Tribolium castaneum: one gene and its partners. The protein of the gene in region 3 purifies or fractionates together with the protein of the main gene of each other region. This does not show direct contact. Links are inferred from orthologs where the notes say so. Each region holds a gene or a part of one and is shown on either strand. Other genes may lie near its edges.

The links.
Region 1: the proteins of Jra (region 3) and E3 ubiquitin-protein ligase COP1 purify together in Homo sapiens (affinity purification with western blotting; 9 studies listed by BioGRID and IntAct, counting the BioPlex papers as one, with this or other methods). This does not show direct contact. The link is inferred for Tribolium castaneum from reciprocal best matches to the Homo sapiens genes JUN and COP1.
Region 2: the proteins of Jra (region 3) and mle purify together in Homo sapiens (affinity purification with mass spectrometry; 3 studies listed by BioGRID and IntAct, with this or other methods). This does not show direct contact. The link is inferred for Tribolium castaneum from reciprocal best matches to the Homo sapiens genes JUN and DHX9.

Annotation. Positions count from the first base shown.
Region 1 is NC_087397.1:2,835,391-2,843,374, reverse strand, and holds E3 ubiquitin-protein ligase COP1, read right to left. Parts: upstream 5,000-7,984; intron 4,943-4,999; coding exon of another isoform or gene 4,827-4,942; intron 4,491-4,826; 5' UTR 4,453-4,490; coding exon 2,464-4,452; 3' UTR 1,001-2,463; downstream 1-1,000. Other genes in the region: pre-mRNA-splicing factor Slu7, read right to left, coding at 6,577-6,984, 7,048-7,977. UniProt on the Homo sapiens protein: E3 ubiquitin-protein ligase that mediates ubiquitination and subsequent proteasomal degradation of target proteins.
Region 2 is NC_087394.1:36,800,541-36,808,621, reverse strand, and holds the end of mle (dosage compensation regulator), read right to left. Parts: 5' UTR 7,799-8,081; intron 7,746-7,798; 5' UTR 7,745-7,745; coding exon 7,663-7,744; intron 7,620-7,662; coding exon 7,136-7,619; intron 6,247-7,135; exon of another isoform or gene 6,160-6,246; intron 6,107-6,159; coding exon 5,481-6,106; intron 5,427-5,480; coding exon 5,101-5,426; intron 4,695-5,100; coding exon 3,738-4,694; intron 3,692-3,737; coding exon 3,413-3,691; intron 3,368-3,412; coding exon 2,912-3,367; intron 2,857-2,911; coding exon 2,698-2,856; intron 2,639-2,697; coding exon 2,348-2,638; 3' UTR 2,171-2,347; downstream 1-2,170. Other genes in the region: myeloid differentiation primary response protein MyD88, read right to left, coding at 1-66, 449-617, 672-1,055, 1,112-1,311, 1,360-1,481. UniProt on the Homo sapiens protein: Multifunctional ATP-dependent nucleic acid helicase that unwinds DNA and RNA in a 3' to 5' direction and that plays important roles in many processes, such as DNA replication, transcriptional activation, post-transcriptional RNA regulation, mRNA translation and RNA-mediated gene silencing.
Region 3 is NC_087399.1:143,178-150,937, forward strand, and holds Jra (Jun-related antigen), read right to left. Parts: upstream 4,783-7,760; 5' UTR 4,639-4,782; intron 4,591-4,638; coding exon of another isoform or gene 4,518-4,590; intron 4,477-4,517; coding exon of another isoform or gene 4,358-4,476; 5' UTR 4,350-4,357; coding exon 3,666-4,349; 3' UTR 3,450-3,665; downstream 1-3,449. Other genes in the region: ClC-b (H(+)/Cl(-) exchange transporter 7), read left to right, coding at 425-478, 530-682, 731-929, 983-1,236, 1,285-1,462, 1,590-1,881, 1,928-2,066, 2,118-2,930 and 2 more; phosphatidylinositol N-acetylglucosaminyltransferase subunit Y-like, read right to left, coding at 4,358-4,476, 4,518-4,590; uncharacterized protein LOC663924, read left to right, coding at 6,068-6,131, 6,677-6,865, 6,914-7,104. UniProt on the Homo sapiens protein: Transcription factor that recognizes and binds to the AP-1 consensus motif 5'-TGA[GC]TCA-3'.

The DNA of each region.
Region 1 (7,984 bases), on a different chromosome or scaffold from region 3:
AGACCCACTTGGGGCTGAAATTCGCACTGTAGGACAGGGCATCGGCTAAGATCAAGCGGCCTTCGGCATCGGTGTTATCAACACAGATTGTTTTTCCATTCCGGGCTGTTATAACATCGCCCGGTTTGAGAGCGGAGCCCGAGGGCATGTTCTCAGTCAAAGGGATCAAAGCCTTGACATTAACCGGCACTTTGAGACTCGCCAAAGCGTACAAAGTGGCCACAACACTGGCAGCCCCCGACATATCGGCCCTCATGTGGTCCATAGCCACCGATGGTTTAAGACTGATGCCGCCCGTATCGAAAGTCACCCCTTTACCCACCAAAACAAACGGGTTCGAGTCACTGTTTTTGTACGACAGTTCGAGAAATTTCGGGGGCTCGAGCGAGCCTTGAGCAACGGCCAGGAAAGCCCCCATTTTCTCGCTTTCGGCCCAGTTTTTATCCCTGACTTCGACCGAAATCCCTAAATTTTTCGACAATTCGAGAGCTCTTTCGGCAAAAATTGTTGGTGTCATATGATTTGAGGGGGTATCAGTGAGTCGCCGGGCGATATTTTGGGCCTCTGCCTTGACCGTTCCGCGATTCCATTGGTCACAATCGCCGGGATTTGATTGGTGGAGGAATATTTCAGGTAAGGTGTCTTTTTTTGTTTTAAAGTCTTGGAATTTCCAAGTGGCGAGCTTCGAGCCCTCGGCTGACGCCTCGGCATCGCCTAAGCTTTCAACTTGTATTTTTTTAACCCCGGCTGCGTCCAAGGCCCTACAAGCGGCTGAAACCAACAAATGCAATTTTTTCGTAAAATCAATAAATACCGGCAGCTGCAATTCGGACGGATTCCCGTTCCTCCGAAATTAATTCAAGTTCGTCGCTTGGTTTAGTTTTTTTGCCCAGTCCCACGATAGCGACGGATTGAAAGTCAGGTTCAAGGCCCCAAAACACGAACGTTTTGCCCGCTTTTACTTTATTACCTGTGCTGTAATGCGAGGAATTAAAATCGGTTTTTGGGCAATGAGAAACTTTATTGCTATTATACAACTACTTACAACAATAAAAACATTTACCTAAATGGATCACAAATTAATTCAACAATTTTTGTTATAGAGAGAAAGACTATATCGTGAAATCTATATGATCACAATGAACATTGACTCTCCAGACGACACGTACAAATATAGTGCAATACAATTACCGCAAATCAACCGAGGAAATTCAATCACATTTTAGTTCATTTTAAAAAATATAAAACGGTTTTTCGGGCAGTAAAATGCCGGTTTTTTACATTATATTCTTTTTTCTATGCACATATATACACAAAATACTCCAAACTTATATTTTCTCAATTTGAAGCTCGAAAAAATTCTACAAAAAATATATGGGTATACTCTCAATTCAACATTCGAAGTAAACAAGAGCAACACATCTATGGAGTAAAACATAGTAACAACTGCCTTTTTCCTTAACCAAATCACTAGTGGGCCAGACTACACACTAAGAATAACATGATTACAACACAAAATTGGCACATATATTGCTAAAAATACTTACGCTATAATTTAATGAGCAATTTTTTTTTTGGTTTTATACTTGTGAAGTCTTGTGTACATCGAACTACGACTGGTTTTGTCTCACACGTATTATACTATTCGCTAAATTGTGCGTATGTAACTCTGAAATTTGGCACACTTGGGCATTATGAGGTGGAGACTTTTTTGCTGGGAGAATGATATTTGTTGAGAGCGGCGCTACGAAACAAGGGCACTCACTAGAGGGAACACTTCAATTCCTACCCCAATTCTCGAAGCAATAGACAAATACGGCAGCTATTTCTCGTGTTTCGATTTTTAATAAAATAGCCTTGCTATTTCCAAAATTGTTATAGGAAATTATAAGCGGTAACACCAATAAATTTCGGGACTAAGCCACCATGCCTTCAATTAACCAACAGACTCGAACATTTTTTAGTCACAAATTTTACTGCAGGCACGGTACTCCCTATTTATACAGGCAGTACTTAATGAAAATATTTACTATTATTCCAAATACATATTATACGTATCTACAATTCCTGATAATTAAAATTAATTAAGTCGCTGCAAAGAATAAAATTTCTCATTTTAAAAGAAAAGTTGCTTAAATATTTTTTTGTACAAAAAATCCGTAAAAAAAAACTAAAAATTTCAATAACGAAGGATATAAAAATTATGAAAAAATTCACATGCATAGAGATAAAAATAAGGGATTTAATAGCGGACGCTGATCTCTGTGCGACTATTAAGTTTCGAGATAGTAACGCTATAAAAACAGTAAATATTTTCGCCCCCTGTACGTAAAAAATAAAATAGTCCCCCATCCAAGTTTTAGTTATTAAACCGATTTTTCCTGTGCACATCCTGTAACGAAATTTACAATCCGGGATATGCCAAGAACAGTTGATTGTCCTAATGCCGTGCTAGACTATCACCTAAACCAGTTCCAAAATATTAATAATCCCTTGACTGTTCGCCGCAACGACAACATTCGAATTCTGCTTCCAGCAAACAGCCGAAACGAATTCGTTCATATCATCCTCCCGCCTTTCCTGATCCAAGACCCCTTGAATCGCTTCAAACTTATAACTAAACAACTTTTTACTCAAGCCTTTGTAATAAATATACATGGCGTTATTCTCCGAGCCGCAGGCGACATAATCGCCGTCCGTCGCCAATCCGATAAAATTCTTCTCGTTAATGTGTCCGACAAACGACCGAAGGCAATACGGAGTATTAACATTCCACAATTTAAGCTGCGAGTCGGTCGACGCCGACACGATATCCTCACTATTGAGAAACTTGACGTAACTCACTGCCTTCTTGTGGCCCTTGAACACGGCCACCGCCTCCTTCATGTTCCTCAAGTCGTAGTAATGAACACAATGATCAGCGCTACCGAACGCTAAGTGACAAGAACTCCTCGGATTGAACTTAACACAACAAACGTTCGCTTTGGCTTCGAGAGTCGCGATCGAGTGCTCACCGTTGAGCGAGTATAACTTAACGCGCGCATCGTCCGAACCCGAGGCGATCAACCGAGTATCAACCTCATTGAAATCAACACTCCAACAGCGCTTCTCATGCTCTTGGTAGGTCTTGGTGCGCTGACCGGTCGAAGCGTCCCAAATCGTCACAGTCCCTTCGTAATCACTACTCGCCAGAATACTCTTATGGTACGTGTTCCAACTCACGCACGAGATTTTCGACTTGGAGAGCATTTCAATACAGGGATAGTGTATATCGACCGTATCCTTAATCACAGCACCGTAATCGAAAACTTTGATCTTTTTCGTCACTCCAGCAATCGCCAGGAACTCGTTATCCTTATCGAATTCGATACTCGAGACTATGGTCGAATTGTTGAACAAATCACTCGAGTAGTTCAACGTTGCGAGGACCCGGAGCGAGTTATAGCGCGAGAATTTGATCAAATTCTCCCGGAATTCGTCGAGACCCGTATTAATAGTAGTCTTAGTCTTATCGACCCCGTCTTTGCCGAAGAACAAGTCTTTGGAGCGTGAGGTGAAGTAACAGTCGACGAAGTCGTCAAAGTGGGCGTGCATCCGCCGCCGGCGCATCGCCAGCGAGGTCGAACCTAGCCGAAGCGGGGCGTCGGGATTCGTCGTGTCATCTTTGCGACCAGTCGAACTACCTATAGTATCAATCAAATCGATCATTTCCTTCTTCATCGCACTGACATCGGCATTGTCCGCCGCCGACGCCACCGTCCGCTCCACATCCTCCAAAGTCGGGCACTTGCTATGCACCTCCTTCAACTTATTGTAAACCTCCTCAATGTCATGCTCAATAATCGCAATCTCCTTGATAATCTGCGCCTGCCGCTCCTTCTTTTGCTTAAGCAAGTGCTTCAAAAACTCCAAAAGGAGGCGGTTTTGCGCGGCACACGACTCCGCCTCCAGGAGTTGCTTCCGTTGCGTCAGAACCTCCAACATTACGTTAACGTCCGGCAACGTTAAATTCTGCGATTCCGTTGCCACAAAATCCCGTAAACCGTCGGCCGACGTCCCGAACTCCCCCGAACTGTCGCGGTTCAAGCCCAAAGCCTCGAAGTTGTTCAAGCGAGTCTTGTGCTTTCTGATCAGTTCGTTGAGGAGGAAGTTCGGGAAGATCATGTCTTCGCCGGTGACCGGGGCGTTGCATTTGGGGCAGCGTTTGAGGGCTTCGATCGATTTTAAAATGCAGGTGTAGCAGAACGTGTGGCCACATTTCGTAATGTAAGCCTCCTCGATCAGGTTGAAGCAGACGGGGCAGGAAAAATCGGTCGTTTTCTCCTCGAAGGAGCCGCCCCCGGCTGTCGAACGCTGACGCTTTGGGGTGCGAATCGACGAGCGATTTGTCGGCACGTTCGAACTACTGTGCGAAGAGGCGGAACTACTACGACCGTCGCGGCTTGAAGCCATTTTGACGACTTAGAGGTAGTTAAGAGAAAAACATCGACCTGAAACAAGAACTGGAGTAGTATTGAGGAGCGACAATTCGGACGGTTCCTGACCCGAAAACCTGAAACGGGGACAGAAATCGCCTAAATTGTTACTTGAAAACACTCAATACTACTGGATTGGTTAAACTGACGGGATCAAGTTTCAGGTCAGGTTTTTCAATTTGCACGAAAAGGGCCAAGACAATAAAATAATCGCTACGTGTATAAAAAACGATAAAGCTTTCTATTTTGTGCCAAGTTTCATTAATTACTCCCATGTTTTCACATTATGTAATGTTTAATTCCGCTTGGACTTGTCCTCTAATGCAATAAAAACGCTATGACGCTACTTACAGTTTAATTTGTTCTAAAAGCCTGCCTTGACACTTCTGGTTGTACTTTTCAGCAGCGGGGGTTAGCTCCAACCCTTCACATTCATCATCACTGTACACGCCCAAGACTAAGCCTTTCTAAAACGAAACGAACGCAAATCACTCAATTGCATTGCTTCTAATGATAAAACCTACTTTTTCCGGGCAGGCTGAAGAGCATGGTCTGAAAAAGTATCTGCTGGAGACGGATAACCTGAGTAACTTTTTACACGTTAGAGATAAAGCCATACTTGATGGTGACACAAAATATGGGTGGTTTGAGTGTGGGGTGATTTGGTTGAGGGTGGTTTAAAAATCGTATACGTTTCGTCTTTCGATTATGTGGAACTTTAGTGTTGAAAATCCAAAAATCAACAAATCACAAAATTGATTTTTGACAGGTCTGCCGGGCCGACAGGAGTGACAAACGCCAGGAGGCGCTCCTAACGCACAAAAAATGTTTCTGGAAAGGTTGGATATTCGTAGATAACGCCTTATCTTTAGGTCTATTTTGTATGCAATCGACAGTATTTAAATAAAATGCTCAGAAAAAGTGCGAGCCTTTAATTTGCGCTGATAACTGTATTAGATAAAAAAATTATTGGGGAGTGGAATCACCTTAGTTTTTGTGACTTGGTGGAAAAAAAATGGCGGCAAATTCAAAATACATTTTTTATTCAGTTAATTAAGACACAATTTGTGTTGTCCATGTTTTCCGCTAAAGGGTTTTGTAACTTAAAAAGCGGTACCATCGAGGCGTACTAATGCCATATCACCTGTATTTCTGCTATTTTCTTTATTTTGTTTATTGAGGTTATGTGAGACTTTCTTTGACCAAGTGCTCCACTTTTAGATTAAGTTTTTTGTACCTTACATGTGAAATATTTTAGTAAAATGAGCACTCGAGAGTTGGCCCGGTGAGAAAAATTATAATTAAATTAAAGATAAGCTTATTATTGCAATTTCAGAAAACTGGGTGCTTTAGAAGTAATTTATTCAACCGCTAAGGCCACGACTCCCCAGCCTTTTGACTACCTCCTCGTCCTTGACTTTGAAGCCACTTGCTGGAGTAACGGCGACCCGAGAAAAAATCCGGCCGAAATAATCGAATTTCCGGTCGTTCTTTACGACGTAAAAAACGCTAAAATAATCGCAGAGTTCCAGCAATACGTAATGCCAGTCGAGAATCCCAAATTGAGCGACTTTTGTACCGAGCTCACAGGTAAAAAACATTGTGCCCCAAGCCCCACTGATGATTTTTTACAGGAATACAGCAACACCAAGTTGATAACGGGGTCCCCCTTCAAGCTTGTTTGCTTCTGTTTTCGCGTTGGGTTGCCGAAAAAATGAGATTATATGACATGGATTTCCCAAACGGCGAAAGTCAGGCGGCAAAAACGTGCGCTTTTGCCACTTGGTCGGACTGGGATTTGGGGACCTGTCTCCGAAAGGAGTGCATCCGGAAGAATATTAGAATTGAGAAAATGTACCGCAAATGGATTGATATTAGAGCACTGTTCAAGCGCTACATCAGACGCCCGTTTATTGGACTTTCTGGCGCTTTGGCCGAACTAGGACTGACTTTTGAAGGGACTGAACATTGCGGATTGCATGATGCCAGGAATACGGCAAGACTTGTCGGGAAAATGGTCGATAAGGGGGTCGTACTCCAATTAACACGACGCTAATTTTTTATTTTCATTGTATTATTACAAATAAATATATTCTTGTTATTACATAAATTGATTCATTGGGTCTTCCTCTCGCCTCCTCTTCAAATAGTAAGCTTCAATCTCCTCCTCTGAGGGCTTCTTCACTTCGTACATGCTGTTGTAAGGACGCTTCCTCTCGTCTATTGACAGTAAACTCTCGGCTCGCTTTTGGTGCTCTTCTTCCGCTTTGAGGGCCTCTTTTAACTTGTCCTTCTCTTCTTTTTGTTTCAGTTTTTTCTTCTCTTTGTTTTTCTTTCTCTTGTTCTTCTTTTTCTTGTTTTTCTCGGACTTGTGTTTCGCTTCTGTGTCGGAACTCGACTCGGATGATGAACTCTCACTTGATTCTTTTTCTTCCTCTGGTTCAGGTACAACTTCTGGTGGTTTGTTGGCCTCCTGGTTACGGCCAGCTTCTCCCAAACAATACGAATTCTGTTAAAAAAAATAACGAAAATATGGTTTAAACACTATTTAATCCAAAATAAAAATACAAACCTTGACAAACGAGTGGCAACACTTGTAGCCCCATTGCCCCCCTCGCCAGAACGACCCCCAAACCGAAGTGTGATTATTAATATAGACATCCTCCTCATATTTTGACTTGATGACTTCCTTCTCCTGCCCTTTTATAATTTTACCGGAGCGTGAATACTCCACGTAATCTTCAGTCTGTGCCAAAAGTAGCGACTTCGGGGGCGCCTCCAGATGCTCCTCCCCTCCGTACTTCTCCAAAATACTCCCTTGAACCTTTGACTTGAACTGTTCCTTCTTCTTCTCATACTCCTTTTGGAGCAACTCCAACTTGGTGGGTTCCGCCAACAAGTGAACATCAACTCCTCTCTCATACGCCTCCCACGCAAACAACTGTGCGGACGCATGTTTAGTCGTATCGCCGGTAAATTTCACAAAATTCTCCCCCGCGTAATTATCATCCTTATTCGGGTTCGGATTTTCCCTCATTGAGCGCGTTTTCGGGTCGTAATACGCCGAATTCGGGTCCAAATTTCGCAAATACTTGGCCGTATCTTCCCGAATTCGCAAATTCCTGACTGTGATCCGCTGCTTGCTGTCGACTTTGGTCCCCGGCATGTCCACCTCGTCCACGTATTTGTCCTCATCCAACTCCTCGTCACTTTCATTATTTGCGTTGAGTTTATCGGCTTTTAACTGCCGCTTCGCTTCTTCAACTTTTTGGAACTCCTCTATCACTGCCTTGTGCTCGGACGGGTCGTAACCGCTCCACCTGTCCCGTTTCCCGTCGTAACTCAAATTTAATTTTTTCTGGATGAACTCATCCGCGGCTATTTTCGCCCCCGAGAATTTGGCCCCCACTTTGCGGGGCCGCTCCATGCAGTCCTTGCGCTTGTGGGTCATGGCACCGCAATTCTCGCAAGCGCCTTTGCGGAATTTCGTCACAACTTTGGACTAAATA
Region 2 (8,081 bases), on a different chromosome or scaffold from region 3:
CTGAGACCGATAGGGTCCCTCTGATGTAAAGCGGACCTCAACACTTGACCATTGTCGGATTGGGACCTGCAATTACACTCGCATTGAATTAATTGAACTCTAATCGAAGTGGTCTATGACTGAAATTAAGTTGCCAACACTGAACTTAAGTCGTTTGAGTATTTCCCCGAACATTCTGTTCAATAATTATGTAGTAAATGGTAAATTGAATCCAGAAATCGCCGAAATGATTAGAAAATGGGTTTATTTTTTACTTTTTCGAACATTCAACACAAAAATATGCAAAAAATTGCAGGAAATCAACCCAAAAATCAAATATTTAGTGTGTTAGTGAAAAAACAGCCTTACCTTAAAAACAGACGATAGCAAATGTTACCAACTTAATTTCAGTCAAAGTCTACTTGATCAAAAATTTTATTCAAAGTAACAAAAATCAAGTAGGCAATACCTGTTAACTTTGAATTTTTCCGCACTGACCACTCTGATCGAATCACGTAACTTATCCCACACATTGAAAGCAGCCATTCGTTGAAAATCCAAAGTGAAGAGACACTTCATATGTGGCGGATTCGTTGTTAGATTTTTATAAATGCAAGGAATAATTTTCCTTTGACTTTCTGTGTAAAAACAACAATTAAACATAAAAAATGCATGTTTTTAACTGTTGTTACCAATTCCATAAGCGTGTGCAAAACTTAAATAATACTCATTGGCTGAGCTTTTAAAAAACGAATCTGAAAGAATAACAACCAAACGGTTACACCGATGTGTTATTAATTTAATCATTTTGTCCATTTCTAAGCCACCTCCGACCAAATCGCGGTCTTTAACGCAGAACTTCATTCCATATTCCTTCTCCATTCTGTCCAACAATTCTATGGCAAATTCAATATCATCATGGTCGTACAATAAAAACGCATCGTAAATTTCCAAATCCCGGCCTTCATTAATCCTTATCACGTCATCTGTTGTAATAATGTATTTATCAGCTTCGGAATAGAGAGGCTTGAGTTCATAGCCTTGTGGATTGGCTTTGTACAATTTAATGTCCTCATCTACAAAACAACAAAATTCGCACAAATTAATCGAAATCATAGTGAAATTAATTTACCGATCAAATCCAAGACATCGTCCGCAACATCAAACCGGTCCATCTCTTCTAAAAATAACAACAATTGTTGTACAGTACAACGTTGGGGGTCTTTTTCATACCACAACTGTAACACTTTATCTGTGGGGTTTGAATCGTTGACAAGACTCGCCTCATAATTGGGGCTAATCTGGCACAGGCCAGCCAAACCTCTCCAATACCTAAGCCCCCCAATCAACAAACTGTAACTATACTAAAACTGTACTCACCGGAGCACCCCATTAGGGCCTGGCATGAACATCTGGGGGTTCAACAGGTCGCATAACAGTGCCTTGGTTTTGGGCCTCAAGACTGTTATGGGGACTTCCCGCGATTCGCCCGCAGCCTCCATTCTACACTAACTACTAAAATATCCAATTTTGAGTTTTTGTCAAGGACTTACTAACACTTTTTGCTTACAAAATCATCTTTTAGGGCGATGAAAATAAATGGGCATCTTAATTGATTGACAGTTGACGTAATTGACATAACGAACGTTGCCAATTTTATGACGTGACCTTGGATTGGGGCAAAAATAACTCAATCTTACCGAAATTGATGGTTTTGAGGCTGTTTTCACACCAGCTGGTTTAATTAAAGGGAATACCATTGCTAAGAGTTGAGATTTTGGTGTTTGCACTATTACGTGATAGTGATATGCAGGCAACCAATTATACGTCAATACGAGACAGATTTTTTTTATGATTTTATTTGAACTTTTTTCTATTCAACATGTTTTGTTGAAGCATTCTAGTAATATAATTAAGGGAGAGGTCAATTTCAACCGCACCACCAATCAAATTAGCAACTATCAGAGCAATTAAATTGACTTGGTAACGTTGGGTAGGTAAATGATCAGAAACAGAGGGGAGTGTTACAGGCCCTGTGGCGCAACGGATAACGCGTCTGACTACGGATCAGAAGATTCCAGGTTCGAATCCTGGCAGGGTCGTCACATTTTTTATATTTAAGCGTAAGCTTTAAGTTGTTAGTTTCCTAGAGTTGTGTTAGTTTTTACGGTAGTAGTCATTTAGCCAAATCTTCAAATTTAAATTTTATTAACAAACTCAACAAAAAATATATATTGTTTTGTTCTTTGTAGTGAATCTAGTGAGCCAAGGCCTCAAGTTCGAGAAGAAAAAACTAATATTTATTTTGTTAAAATTTTTAATTTTTGAATACCGAGATGATCAAACACATTTATGTCTACCGATACAATTAATAATTACTATAGCCTCTGAAACCACGACCTCTTGGAAATCCGCCCCTGCCTCTGAAACCCCCTCTTCCCCCAAATCCATGGCCCCCATCAAAACCCCCTCGAAAACCACCCCGATTATCTCCAAAGCCCCCTCGAGACCCCCCTCTGAAAAACTTTGGTGGTGGTCCTTGAAAACCCAAAGAGTGCCCCCTTGGTGGACGCCTCGATTGTTGCATTTGGGGTCTAGCCCTCTCGATTTGGTAACTCCCAGCGTGCAACTTGCACAGCTCTTTAATTGTTGCAACAAACTGCAAAAAGCCAAATATAGCGCTCGAAAAATTTAAGTCTAGATATTTTTATGAATTACTTTGAGATCTCCTGGTGACATTTCGAGTATTTGTTCCGGTTCTTGCGACGCCCGAACAACTAAACTTTCCAGGGCCGGCCTTAGGGCCACAATAAGGGCCGCCACTTCTGGGTCCATATTCAAATTAATCCAATTATCAAGTCGCACAACACCATCAACCTAAACAAAATCAAATCAACTCACACTTGCAATTCAATTGTTTAGTTTGAATTACCCAATCAATTTTTCTCGAACCAAACAATAACAAATGAATCGGCGTCACCATACTCATTTGTTTACACGAAACGGCCCTTGTCCGTATTTTCTCCCCAAAAACAAAAAATGGATACGGGAACGTTTGTTCAAAGTTACTGCAATTGACTGATGTTTTATGTATCAAGGCGGCCTTGCTCTCGGTTGTCAAAACTTTTCGTTTCTCTTTGTGATAACAAACATTTGGATAAAGACCATAACACATTAATGCCATCACAACGTCCAATTTCGGATCAGGGCCAACTGTATCCATAGGAATCGGTGATAAAGTCTCTTCGGGGAAACCCACCGAATTGAGAATTTGTTGCAATTGGTGTTTGGCCTCCCACGTGACACGCATTGTCGGCATACTTATGCCTTTGTATTCGCAGAAACGTTGCTCGGCTTCTTCGCCACCAGCACGTGCTTGATCCCACAACTACAAATAATATTTCATTAAAACATTAAAAAATACTGTATGTACCTCAAAAGCTGTCAACATGGCGACGTGATCAGAGCACCTATCCCCAGCCAGAGCCTTCTGGTGGTGGCTTAAACGTCTCTGGCCCATATCAAGTGTGAAAATTTCGGGAAATGTGGACGAATTAGCAGCCATTGTGGCCAAGGGACCACCACACATAAAAATGCAACCCAGAACCATCATTTTCCCCAATCGTGGTTCAATCGGAAGTTTGGCAATGATGCGACCAAGTGGTGTCAGCTCATCGTTACTGTCCAAACATTTCATCTCACGTAACAAAACCTTAAAAAACAATAATTAAAAAATTAAAACTACAGAAATAATTTACCTCTGCTTCAATGACGGCATCTAGTGGCGGTGGCTCGATCGCCTTGCTCAAAAAATGCCCAATCGAGCCCAACTTTAACAACTTAATACTCAGTGCCAATTCATGCAGCGGTGTTCGGAACATTTCCGGTGTCATATGTTCGTCCAGTTTATCAAAGCGTGCCTTCGAACACAAATGGAAACAAAACCCCGGTCTGACTCTCCCTGCACGTCCTTTCCTCTGCTCGAGATTAGTCCTTGAGGCCCAAACAGTCGCATAACTCGTCATATTATTATGCGAAGTGAACAATTTAATCTTGGCCTTGCAACTATCAATCACAAACACTACATCATTAATTGTGATGGAAGTTTCGGCAATATTTGTTGCCAGAATAACTTTGGTGACATGAGGGGGCACCGGCTCAAAGACACGTCTTTGATCCTCTCGTGGAATCTGCGAATGCAACGGCAGCACCCTATAGGCAGCCCCTCCAAACACTGGATGCTGTTGCAAGTGGCGCATCATTGCAAAAATCAGGTTCCAACCGGGGAGAAAAACTAGAACAGCTCCCGGAATTTCTTGCGATTTGATGTATTTGAGCAAGGCTTCCATCAATTCGAAGCTCACTTCGCGTTCGCTCATTCGAGCCATTGCATTTCTGGTTTGAGTACTGAATTTTGGGTCGATTATTTTGTTCATGTTTTCATCGCCGTCGTCTCCAATGGTTGTTTCGTCATCGTCGCCTCCACCACCACCGCCTCCTCCAGCCTTACGTTTGCGTGTTTCTGTAGGTGGCACAAAACCGGTGAGTTCGACACAGTCCTCCAGGAAGTACTGCTGGACGGGATAAGTTCGGCCGGCGATTTCAACAACTGGACAATTGTTGAAATATTTCGAAAATAAACTCGTGTCAATTGTTGCCGACATTAGAATTACGCGCAAGTCTGGGTAGGTGTGGATCATGTCGCGTAAAACCACCTGAAATTATCCCAATTTTTTCTAAACTCACAAAAAAACATAAATTTTTGTGCAAAGATAGTTTAAATAATAATAATAACAATAACTTATTCCTATCAATTCATACAGATATAGTAATAAAACTGATACCAAAGACGTCAGTATTATACACAGAAATAAAAATAACATAAGAATAATTTAAAGTCCAGTTATAATAATTTTTCGGCTACTTTATTAAAAAATTTTGCGAAATAATTACGTTTCAACCATAACTTAATCTAATTTTCGATTTAATTTTGTAATTTTTCCGCAATTTTAGCTGAAGCTTTCAAAAAACCCCAAGCATTGAGTTTAATTTCCCAGACAGTTGTCACAAAAAAACTCGTGATAACGCATCAAACGAACAAATAATTATCATGGTTATTACCATAATAAAGTCACTATTGACGTCCCTTTCGTGTATTTCGTCGACAATCACATGACTGACGCCTCTGAGCCCATTTTCCAACTTCTTCAAAAGCACGCCAACCGTACAAAACATAATGGAACCATAAGGTCGGGGAAGAACCGATTCAAACCGAACCGAATACCCAACCGATTGTCCCAATGCTTCGCAACGTTCATTGGCCACTCGTTCCGAAACGGAAACAGCCGAAATTCTCCGAGGCTGTGTTATACAAATATTGCACCAGGCACCTTGACCCGACATAATATAATCCTCGAGAATGTACTGACACACTTGTGTAGTCTTACCTACAACACCATATATACAAAGATACAGGGCGTTCCATGTTATTAGTTACATACCGCATCCGGTATTTCCCTTAATTATGATAACGGGATTATCGTTAATTGCGGCCATAATTTGCCCCTTCATTGAATACACTGGCAAACCTTGTCTCTCACTAATGATAGCTTTCAAATCAACGTCATGATTCAATTTTTGTTTGGTTTCTTCGGCCAAATGTTCGCTCAACTCGTCCAAGTTGGCGTTGGCAAGGGGGCCCTCATCAATGTTGCACCCAGTCCAAGGATTCCAATTTTGTTGAGGAGGCGACCATGGGACAACTCCTGCAGCTATCGGTTTGGAGGCTTGAAAGTCGTCCAAAATGTGATTGCTCAAAAGTGAAACCGGTTGGCTTTCGCTTTCCGGTTTAACCTCAACCGGAGTGATATTCAAAGTGTCGAGGCAATCTTTGATTTGTTTTTGTAAATCTGGGGAGATTTTTACATCGAAAGGTTTCATTTCACTGCCGGTTTTCTCTTTTTTAAGTGTTCCGGAAAATGCTTCAATTACACCGAGATGGAACAGTTGGCGAATGATGGAAAGAGCGCAACTTTTACTAGCGGTTTGCTTATTTGAACCGGAATCACGACCGGTTATTGTACGTCCGAGTTGCTTGACGTAGAAGCTCATTTCGGCCACAAAAGTCCTAAGAAATGGGAGCATTACAGTTGAGAAATAGGGGATTAAAAGTATACTTACAAGTGTATAATGCAGAGTTTTTATATTGTACCTTGGAGGAAAAACAGAACCAAGAACAGTAAAATATTTGAGTTGTTCCCACGGTAGCTGCAGTGGAAAATTATTATTTAAGAAACTACTGCAAGAAGTAAAACAGAAGTTTCATAAATAAAAAAATGACCTCAAAGTTACTAATTTTTTAATCAAACCAGTAACTCTATTATCAAAATGCCATTCAATTGGTTAAATAAAACATAAACGCATTCACAACTTCCTTCTTTCCAGAAAGAAAATCGTGAATTTTTTGGTAAATAAACGAAATAAATTATTCTATCCACTGTACTTAGTTCTGCTTTTCCACCTCTACTATTTTTTCTCTGCAGAAAAAAATAAAAAAGATAGAAAAATTTTAATTTCTTCAATCTTTCATTTTTTTCTAAAAATTTTCAAACCATAAATAGTCAAACAATAACAATAATCCTTCTGGCAGAAATGTTGGTTTTTTCAAAGCCAGAAAAAAAAATCGTGAATGGATAAAATAATAATGAAAATAAATTATTCTATCCACTGTTCTTGGCTTTGCTTATCTGTCTTTACTCCTTACATTTTTTTATTATTTCTTCTATTGGTGCCTCATTCTCTATTGCAGATTTAATTAAAAAAAAAAAAAAACAACATTTTTTCCTTCTTTTCGTTTTTTTTTCTATTTTTGGTATTTTTTATTATGTATATTTATTTTATTATTACGGTTCTTTCTTTATTTTTTATTCTCGTTCTCTTATACAAAAAATATTTAAAATAAACAGTGCAGGGGAAATGTTAAATTTCCAAGGCCAGAAGAAAAACGTGAGTAAACAATAAACAAAATAAATTATTCTGTCACTGTTCTTGGTTATGCTCTATTATTTTATTATTTTTCAGTTTTTCTACTGTGCCTATTTTTCTCTCTCTCCTCCCCCCACACAAACTTCCATCTACTCACTCTCTCAATACCAACCTGGAATGGTCTGGCCCCACTTGCGTATACTTATAATCCGCGTGTATTTTATTGCTTTGCATAAACTGATGCAGCTTTGACTTTGCATTCTCCACAGTCCAATTGCCATGAATCTGAGCATTCACATCCAAATCCTCTGCATCCTCCACACTCTTCTGTTCCTGCGCCCTGTTCATGTAATGCCAATCGTCGTGATCGCGCCCCAGAGGCCTGTAGGCCTCCCCAAACGACGAGGGCCCCATTCCCTGTCGAAACACCGAAGGGGCGGGCCCCCGATTCATCGGAACGGTGTTTGGACCTGGAGGCGCATCCTGGAAGTCGGGCACGTCGGCGGGGTTAACAATGCCTTCCCGGACGAGGTAACTGACGAAATCGCGGGCGGCGTTGCTTTGGGCGTCCTTTTTGTTGGTGGAATTGCCAGCCCCCACGTAACTGTAGCCATCGATGCGGACTTCGCAGAGGAATCTCTGGCGGTGTTTGGGGCCTTTGGGGAAATTAGTAAAGGGTGAAAAGGGGCTGCGGCTTACCGGTTGGCCGGACTTCAAACTGGGGCTGCTCTTTCTTGGTCTTCTGGCAGAACTGGTGCAAGAATGATTTTATATCGGACATCCTATTGAAATTTCGTATTTTTTAATCGAAGAAAATGCCGGTAAAAAATACGACCTTGGAAAAGTTTTGACATTTAACCACAGAATAGAGTCCGCGAAATGACAGATCGTCCACGGTGGTAGGAGTGCGCAGAGACGAAAACTCGTCTCGGACGAGTCCAATCTTTAAATTAGGGGTGTTGGCAGAAAACAGTGGCGTGGCGTGTACTTACATGTGTAGGGAATTCGTCTTAAAGTTTAACATTTCAATATTACCAGTTATAGTAAAGATACCAGTAGAAACATTTTTTGCAATAAACGCGTTTTTACTCTTTACTCATTGTGTATTTTTATTTATT
Region 3 (7,760 bases):
AATTAAAAAACAGTCATTAAATTGATACTTTACGCTCGTCAAACATCACGGTATGTGCGTAATATCTAATAATGTCGGCGTATGAAATTTTCAAGTTTTTTAATTTTTACGAGTAATAAGATCTTATGAAATTATTTACTTTCGGTTCACTTTCATAAAAACTATTGTGGTGCAAATAAGGTACTCTTAGCATTAGCTTTTATATTAGTTGTCATGGTAACAGCTTCGCCATTTGCACCACAGTGGTTTTTATGAAAGTGAACCAAGTATAGACAAGTGCGCTTGAAGCATTTGTTCAATGACGTTTAATTTTTCGGAGAATGCAAAATAATATGAATACGTTTTTATCGCAGATGATTCATTTCGTAATCAAATCGGGACACAATTCAAAGTTATAATGCGCGTTATTTTCTAATCTGGGAGAATGAACGAAAGTGGGAATCATGAGGATGGTGAAATTCGAGCCACCAGATTTAGGGTAAGTTTTTTCTATAATGAGGGTGTTAAGAGTCATGATGGGAGCTTATAGAATTTGCCATCGGTCAATTCGTTGAGTCAAGAAGAACTGATTGTGACAGAACCTGAAAATACCGAATTGTTATCGTCAATCAGACGGAGGGTACAAACTAGTTCTGAAAAAATTGAAACAGGGTCTTTGAACGTGTTATCGGCGAAATATGAAGTAAATTATCACATTTGGTTACAAAACACTGCTACTGGATTTTTTTAGAGCCTTGATTACGACACGTGTGAGAATTATTTACTTTTGGATGAAGAGAGAAAAAAAGGTTATAGATTTATTGTGAAAAAAAGTTTAGCGAGATGGTTTATTTTCCTCTTAATTGGAGTGGTAACCGCGTTAATTGCTTGTGCCATAGATATATCAATAGAAGAATTATCACAACTGAAATATGCCTCATTAAGCAAATGTAGAGAATTAATTTTTCTCAAACTATTTAAATCCGATTGTAAAAAATTCTAGATGTGGACGAATACGTCACACAGGGGAAACTCCACATCCCCTACTTCTTCTGGGTGTTATACAACGTAATCCCAGTCCTAATAGGCTCAACTCTAGTTGCTTACGTTGAGCCTATTGCTGCTGGTAGTGGAATTCCTCAAGTGAAATGTTACCTCAATGGGGTTAAAATACCCCGCGTCGTACGAATAAAAACACTATTTGTAAAAAGTGTAGGCGTTGTGTGTTCAGTTGTGGGTGGTTTAGCTGGGGGCAAAGTAATCTTTCTTCAACATAAAAGTAGAAAACATAAAGTGCGCTTTTAGGAAGGACCAATGATTCATTCAGGAGCTGTCGTTGCAGCGGGACTTTCTCAAGGGAAAAGTACAACGTTTAGGCGAGATTTCAAAATATTTAAATTTTTTCGGGAAGATCACGAAAAACGGGACTTTGTCTCTGGGGGCGCCGCTGCGGGAGTTTCGGCAGCTTTCGGAGCACCAGTTGGTAATAAAAAAATTATATCAAATGTAGTCCGAGATATTTCTCAAGTCAAAAAAATAAAACTGTAAAAACAACTGGAGTAATTTAAACTTATATAAATATAAATTCTACAATTTTCGCCCGATTTTAGGTGGAGTGCTTTTTAGTTTGGAAGAAGGTACAAGCTTTTGGAATCAGAGCCTAACATGGCGCACTTTTTTCGCTTCCGTGATAAGCACCTTTACTCTAAACGTAGTTTTATCAACTTATCACGGAGTTCCCGGTGATTTAAGCTATCCAGGACTTTTGAATTTAGGCAAATTTGAAAACTTTAGTTATAAAGTGTACGAATTACCAATTTTCCTCGTAATGGGGGCTTTAGGTGGATTATCGGGGGCGTTATGGAATCACATCAATTACAAATTATCAGTTTTTCGAATGAGGTAATATCACGTTTTGCTCACAATAAATGATAAAAAAAACTTACAGATATATACGAAAAAGATGGTTAAAAGTAATTGAAGCTTGTATTGTCGCAGCTGTTAGTGCCACTTTAGGTTTCCTGATGATGTTTTTACTGAATGATTGCAAGCCTTTGGGACAAGATCCCACGAAATATCCAACTCAGGTAAACAAAAAATTAAAGTATAATTGATTCTATTCGTTTTTTTTTTGTCAGTTATACTGTCAAGATGGCCAATACAATGTTTTGGCAAGCATTTGGTTTCAAACTCCTGAAGCCTCAGTCCGTTCTCTTTTTCACGATCCCCCAAGTACGCACAACGCCACCTCTCTGGCCTTTTTCGTCCTAGTTTATTTCTTTTTATCGTCATGGACTTTTGGTCTTGCCTCTTCTAATGGTCTTTTTATACCGACTCTCCTAACGGGGGCTGCTTGGGGTCGGCTTATTTCAGTCGGACTATTTCGAGTAATCCCCGACGCTGTTCTCATTCATCCGGGGAAATACGCCCTGATTGGTGCAGCCGCTCAATTAGGAGGCGTAGTCAGAATGACAATTAGTTTGACAGTGATTATAATGGAAACGACAGGAAACATTTCCTTTGCTTTGCCTCTAATTCTGACATTAATTGCGGCAAAATGGACTGGTGATTTTTTCAATGAGGGAATTTATGACACACTTATACAACTCAGTGGTGTTCCGTTACTCCCATGGGAACCCCCGCCACTAGTTCACAATATCTACGCCAGTGAGGTGATGTCGCATCCGGTGGTTACACTGAAGTGTGTTGAGAATGTGGGGCATATTGTTGAATTGTTGAAATTAACAACTTATAACGGATTTCCGGTTGTTGATCCGCCACTAACTGATCAATCGGAAGTTACCACGTATGGGAGAATAAGAGGGTTAGTTTTGAGGTCACAATTAATTGTTATTTTGAAAAAGAAGATTTTTAACGAAAATTCGGACTTTTGGGAGGATATTAATGCGGGAATCTTTCGAGATGAGTATCCCCGATATCCAACAATAGAGGTAGTGGTATTTCTCTCGCCCTTTCCTTTTTAAGTAATTAAGTTTAATTCTTTAGCAAGTGAGTGTTTCCGAAGTTGAAAAAACTTATTCTATTGATCTGAGGCCGTTTATGAATCCGTCACCATATACGGTGCTTCATGTAATTAAAAAAACAAGTAATTAGCATTTAATCATTTTTTTTTTTCAGTCGGCATCACTACCTCGAATGTTTAGATTATTCCGAGCTCTCGGTTTACGACATTTGCCGATTGTTAATGACACAAATGAGGTTATAGGAATGGTAACAAGGAAAGATTTAGCTCGTTATAGAGTCTGGAGACATCGGGGTCGCATGGGGGTAGAAGAATTATTAATTTCCAAAGAAATATGACCGCTTACAGTATTATGATATGATGATATAGTTTCACGAATAATTATGTTGTCGCTTTTGACAAAAGAATTTTATTTATTGTTAATTAAAGACTTTACCCATTTTCCATTGTTTTTATTCTAACCAATTTTTTTTAATGAATTCACTACTTGTTACTGAGACAATTTTTATTAATAAAAATGTGATAAACTACATAAAATAAAACAAATCGCGCTAAATCTACCGTAAATAATACAATTCAAATGGCTCCATACAAAATATGGTCACAGTATTAAAGCTACAACTATGAATATCTCAGCACCAAAATATAAAAAAATCACTCTGGTGTATAATTTTTATAAAAAAATATAAATCGTACTCTATCCTTAAAACTGTCCCGCAATGATGGGACAGCCAGCATTCACATGTTCCATCACTTCCAATTTGAGCATCCCCACGTGTTCCTTCAACTGGTTGACCACTGAAGCCAATTCAACATTCTCACTTTTCAACAGTTTGACTTTATCCTCCAATTTCGAGATTCGTTCCAATTTGCGGGAACGACATTTAGAGGCTGCGAGTCTATTCCTTTGTCTCTTTCGCTCCAATTTCATTCTTTCCTGATATTCCATATCGACAGGAGACATTGGGGGCGTATTATTCACGTTGGGCACCGTTTGGGGCTCCTCTTTGATCACAGGCATGAAATTCTGCTGTTCGCTGTAAACCGTACTGGCATTACTGTCAGAACCTTGCTGAGAATTGCCATTGTGAAGATAATTAAGCGCTTCGACGAAACCGCCTGCAAACTTCTCTTGCTCCACAGTGACGTCCCGCGGGAAGATAAGTGAAGGGGAAGGCGTGTGTGAAATATTATTCGCCAAGATGATGTTCTCAATGGTGGGTGTGTCCACTTTGAGGAGGTCAGGGGTATCTACTTTGAGGACGGACGTGATGTCGGGGGATAACGATAGGTTCATGTTCATTTTCGACTGATTAAGATCAAGAGTGAGATTTTTCTTCATGTTACTGAGGTTTTTTTGCTGACTTTCAAAGTTGGGTCCGCTCATTTTTTTTATCAATTATTTTTGTACAATTCCCAACCTAACCACGACCAAAGATTGAAAAATAGGTAAACAGGCACGACGACCAAAGCCAACAGTGAATAATAAACGGAATCACTAATTTCCATAAAATCTGAAATGGAAATTTTAGGTTAAGTTACGTCAATAGCAAACAAAAGAATATCGAGAAATGAAGATTCTCGAAGAAGAAAACAAAGTGAAGGTCTGTGAGGTGTCCCTCAAGCATTACTTGGTAAAAAAGTAAATAATGAATCTTTAATATTATAACACTTACTTTAACACCACATTCAAAAGCAAAGCGCTTTTATTTGTAATGACTCACAATGTAGCACAACACTGGCTTGAAAATTTCTTGAATATAACTTTTAACTTCTTGTGTAGTATTGTTCTCGAAATACTACAGAATACTAACAAATACGACGTAATAACTTTCGATATGAATGAGTCATCCCTTTCATGGATTTTCAGAAATGAGAATGACGTCATGTCGAAATGATTCGCTAAAGCGACACCTAGACAATTCTACAGGAAACTGACCGCAGTGTTTTACGGGTTGCCAACATGATCTTTGAACCCCATCTTACCCCATCCAAAAAATACGATTTAAGAAATGAAAAGACAGTGATATTAACGACTAAAGTTTTAGCCGATTTTCATTCAAAAATTGTGATTTAATTTACAAAAAAACTTTGGAAACAAAGAAAAAAGTGTAAATATTTTATATTCTGTCCGACTTTAAATGCGATAAGTACTACAAAATAAAAACAAATTATGGTAATAACCAAATAGATAACTATTTTTAATTATCATGCGAGGAAAAAACCTTTATTTAGAAAATGTATGATAAGAAGCATTGGCACTAAAATAACAGAAATTGTAATAAAGAGATCAACAATAGTTGTCTATTTCTTCAAAATGACGAAAAAATTCCTAACCTGCTTTATTTGTAGCGTATGAGCTAGTTTGCCTAGGGTAAACACAGTTCCCTTGACCTTAATAGGATAATTCATTTAAATTACTTTTTCGATCAAAATACGTCCCCGAGTGTATGCATCAAGGAGCTCCTTGGTCCGTCCTTGGTATACATCAACGGTTCATAGGTTAAAAAACCCAAATAAAATTGATTTGCAAATAATAATTCCACAGGGAATATTTGCCACTTCCTGTCTCGCCTTCGCAAAGCGGAAAAATGGATGGTGTTATTCAACGTGTTATTTCATCAATTGCAACAAATTTGGACGGATATGGTGAATTATCCAATTGTATCAAACGGTTTCGTAATACTAATTAGGATAATAAATTAAAGGGTAGACACAACTTTGCAGACTTTGCAACACGAACGAAACATTTTTTTTTTCGGAAAAAAAAAACTATGTAGGAGTTAATCGAGCCACATCATAGCAAATCAGTAACACGTATACGCCAACTTTTTTTTTTGTAATTACGGAAATGGTAACCCTTCTTCACTTCAGTTCATTTACTATCAATCAATAAAAATTGAAAAAACAATCCGTTATATTTTTCTTAAACGCAGATCGCACTTTATGAATCTTTCCGTTAGAATCAAGGTTTCGCGCAGGCCCTATTTGAAGCTGCATTCAGTCTTCATATTGAACTCAAACCGAACATTTCGTGATCATATAATCTAATTTTATTTAAATTAAATAATTCTTTTCGTTTGAAATTTTTAACACAAACCAATAATGGTCCATTTACAATACATTACTGGACTATCCCTTCTTCTTATTTTAGTGTGTTTGAAATCAAGTAAGTATAAAACACCCTCCAGTTCGAATTTAACTTATGCCTCTCATAAATTTATTTAATTATTGCTACACTTGTGAAGTGCTACACTTGTGAGACAGTAATGATTACATAATCAACTACTTTTATTGTTCGCACCCTTCGAGACCCCTCCAATTTTTTCCACCAATTCAAGTAAATCGCTACTTGTATTGTAGACAATTTTAGAAATACTTTCGCTAAAAAAATTATTAATCAGAAACATGTAAATGCATTAATCGTAATTAATTTAAAAAAGAAAAAGGTGCATGCGCACGCGCAATTTCATTTCGAAGATCAATAAGCTGTACCATTTGGGAATAAAGAGAGAATAAAGTTGAGAAAATCTGAATACTATTTGTTTTTGTTGACGCAAGTCATATCATGAATGATAAACACTAATTTATTCTATTTCTGTACCAAATTTATCTGTGTTCCACGAAGAGACTATATTATGTTCATTGAAAATGAAAACACTTTCAATGCACACCCTCTTTAACTTAAAAAAAAAATCATCCGTTTTCTCTTAGGTAACGCCATTAGATGTTACCAGTGTAACAGTTACGCGGATAAGAGATGTAGCGACACCGATATTGCCAAATATAAGACCGAGTTGGAAATGGATTGCCCCAACATGTCGCCCCCTGGAAGTGAGCCCGGAACAAAGTACAAACTGTGCCGGAAAATCAAGCAAGTGATTGACTTTGAAGTCAATGGATGTAATAAGTGAGATCGAGAGTTTGAACAGTTTTGATGATTATTTTTAGTGCAACCGGAAAGTCGTATTATCAGGACCTGTGGTTGGGATGACTCCCATTACAAGAACAAATGTTATCAAAGGTCGGGGTTCGGAGGTCGTCAAGAAGTGTGCGCTTGTGAGGAAGATGGTTGCAATAGTAGTAGCGCACTTTACGCTTCCGTCGCGTTACTAATGGGCCTATTAATTGTCCACCTGTGAGGTGTTGGAGTTCATTTCTTGCTCACTGGTCGGTCTTCAATAAAAACAATTTTTTTTATAATAAATGTAATTAATGATCAGTTTGCCAATTGCTCGAACTTTTTTCGGTGTGTTCGTTCGTTGAATACGAAAATATTTGTTTCGTGAATAAGCACAATGTTAATAAGCCACAATATCATTGTAGTAGAAGTTTAAATCTTGTTATTAGACATGCTAGAGAATGATTTAAAATTTAATAACTAGTACAAGAATAAAACACAGTTTGGATGGTGATGAGTAAGTATTGTCACTTTGATCCTATTGTATGATAATACATTTTAAATCAATTCGGTTCAAACTTTAGAAAAACCGAATCGGTTTGGTTCGTTTAGATAAGATAGTTGTCTGATTTTCTCATAATCGGTTGCTTTAACGGACGTTAGATGTACATAATTTACTGCCAAAAATGCATTAAATCCATTGACGATTGTTAATCATAATAATAGTCTAACGTAACTGTTATATTACTTTTAGATGCACAACTATAATTTTAAGAGTGAATAAAGCATTGATTTTGAACCGGCCCCATCCTAAAGCCCCCCAAATCTGTTGAGGTTACATAACCGCACAAGAACTTACAGTAATAAAACTAATAAATACAAAACTATTTGTGACTT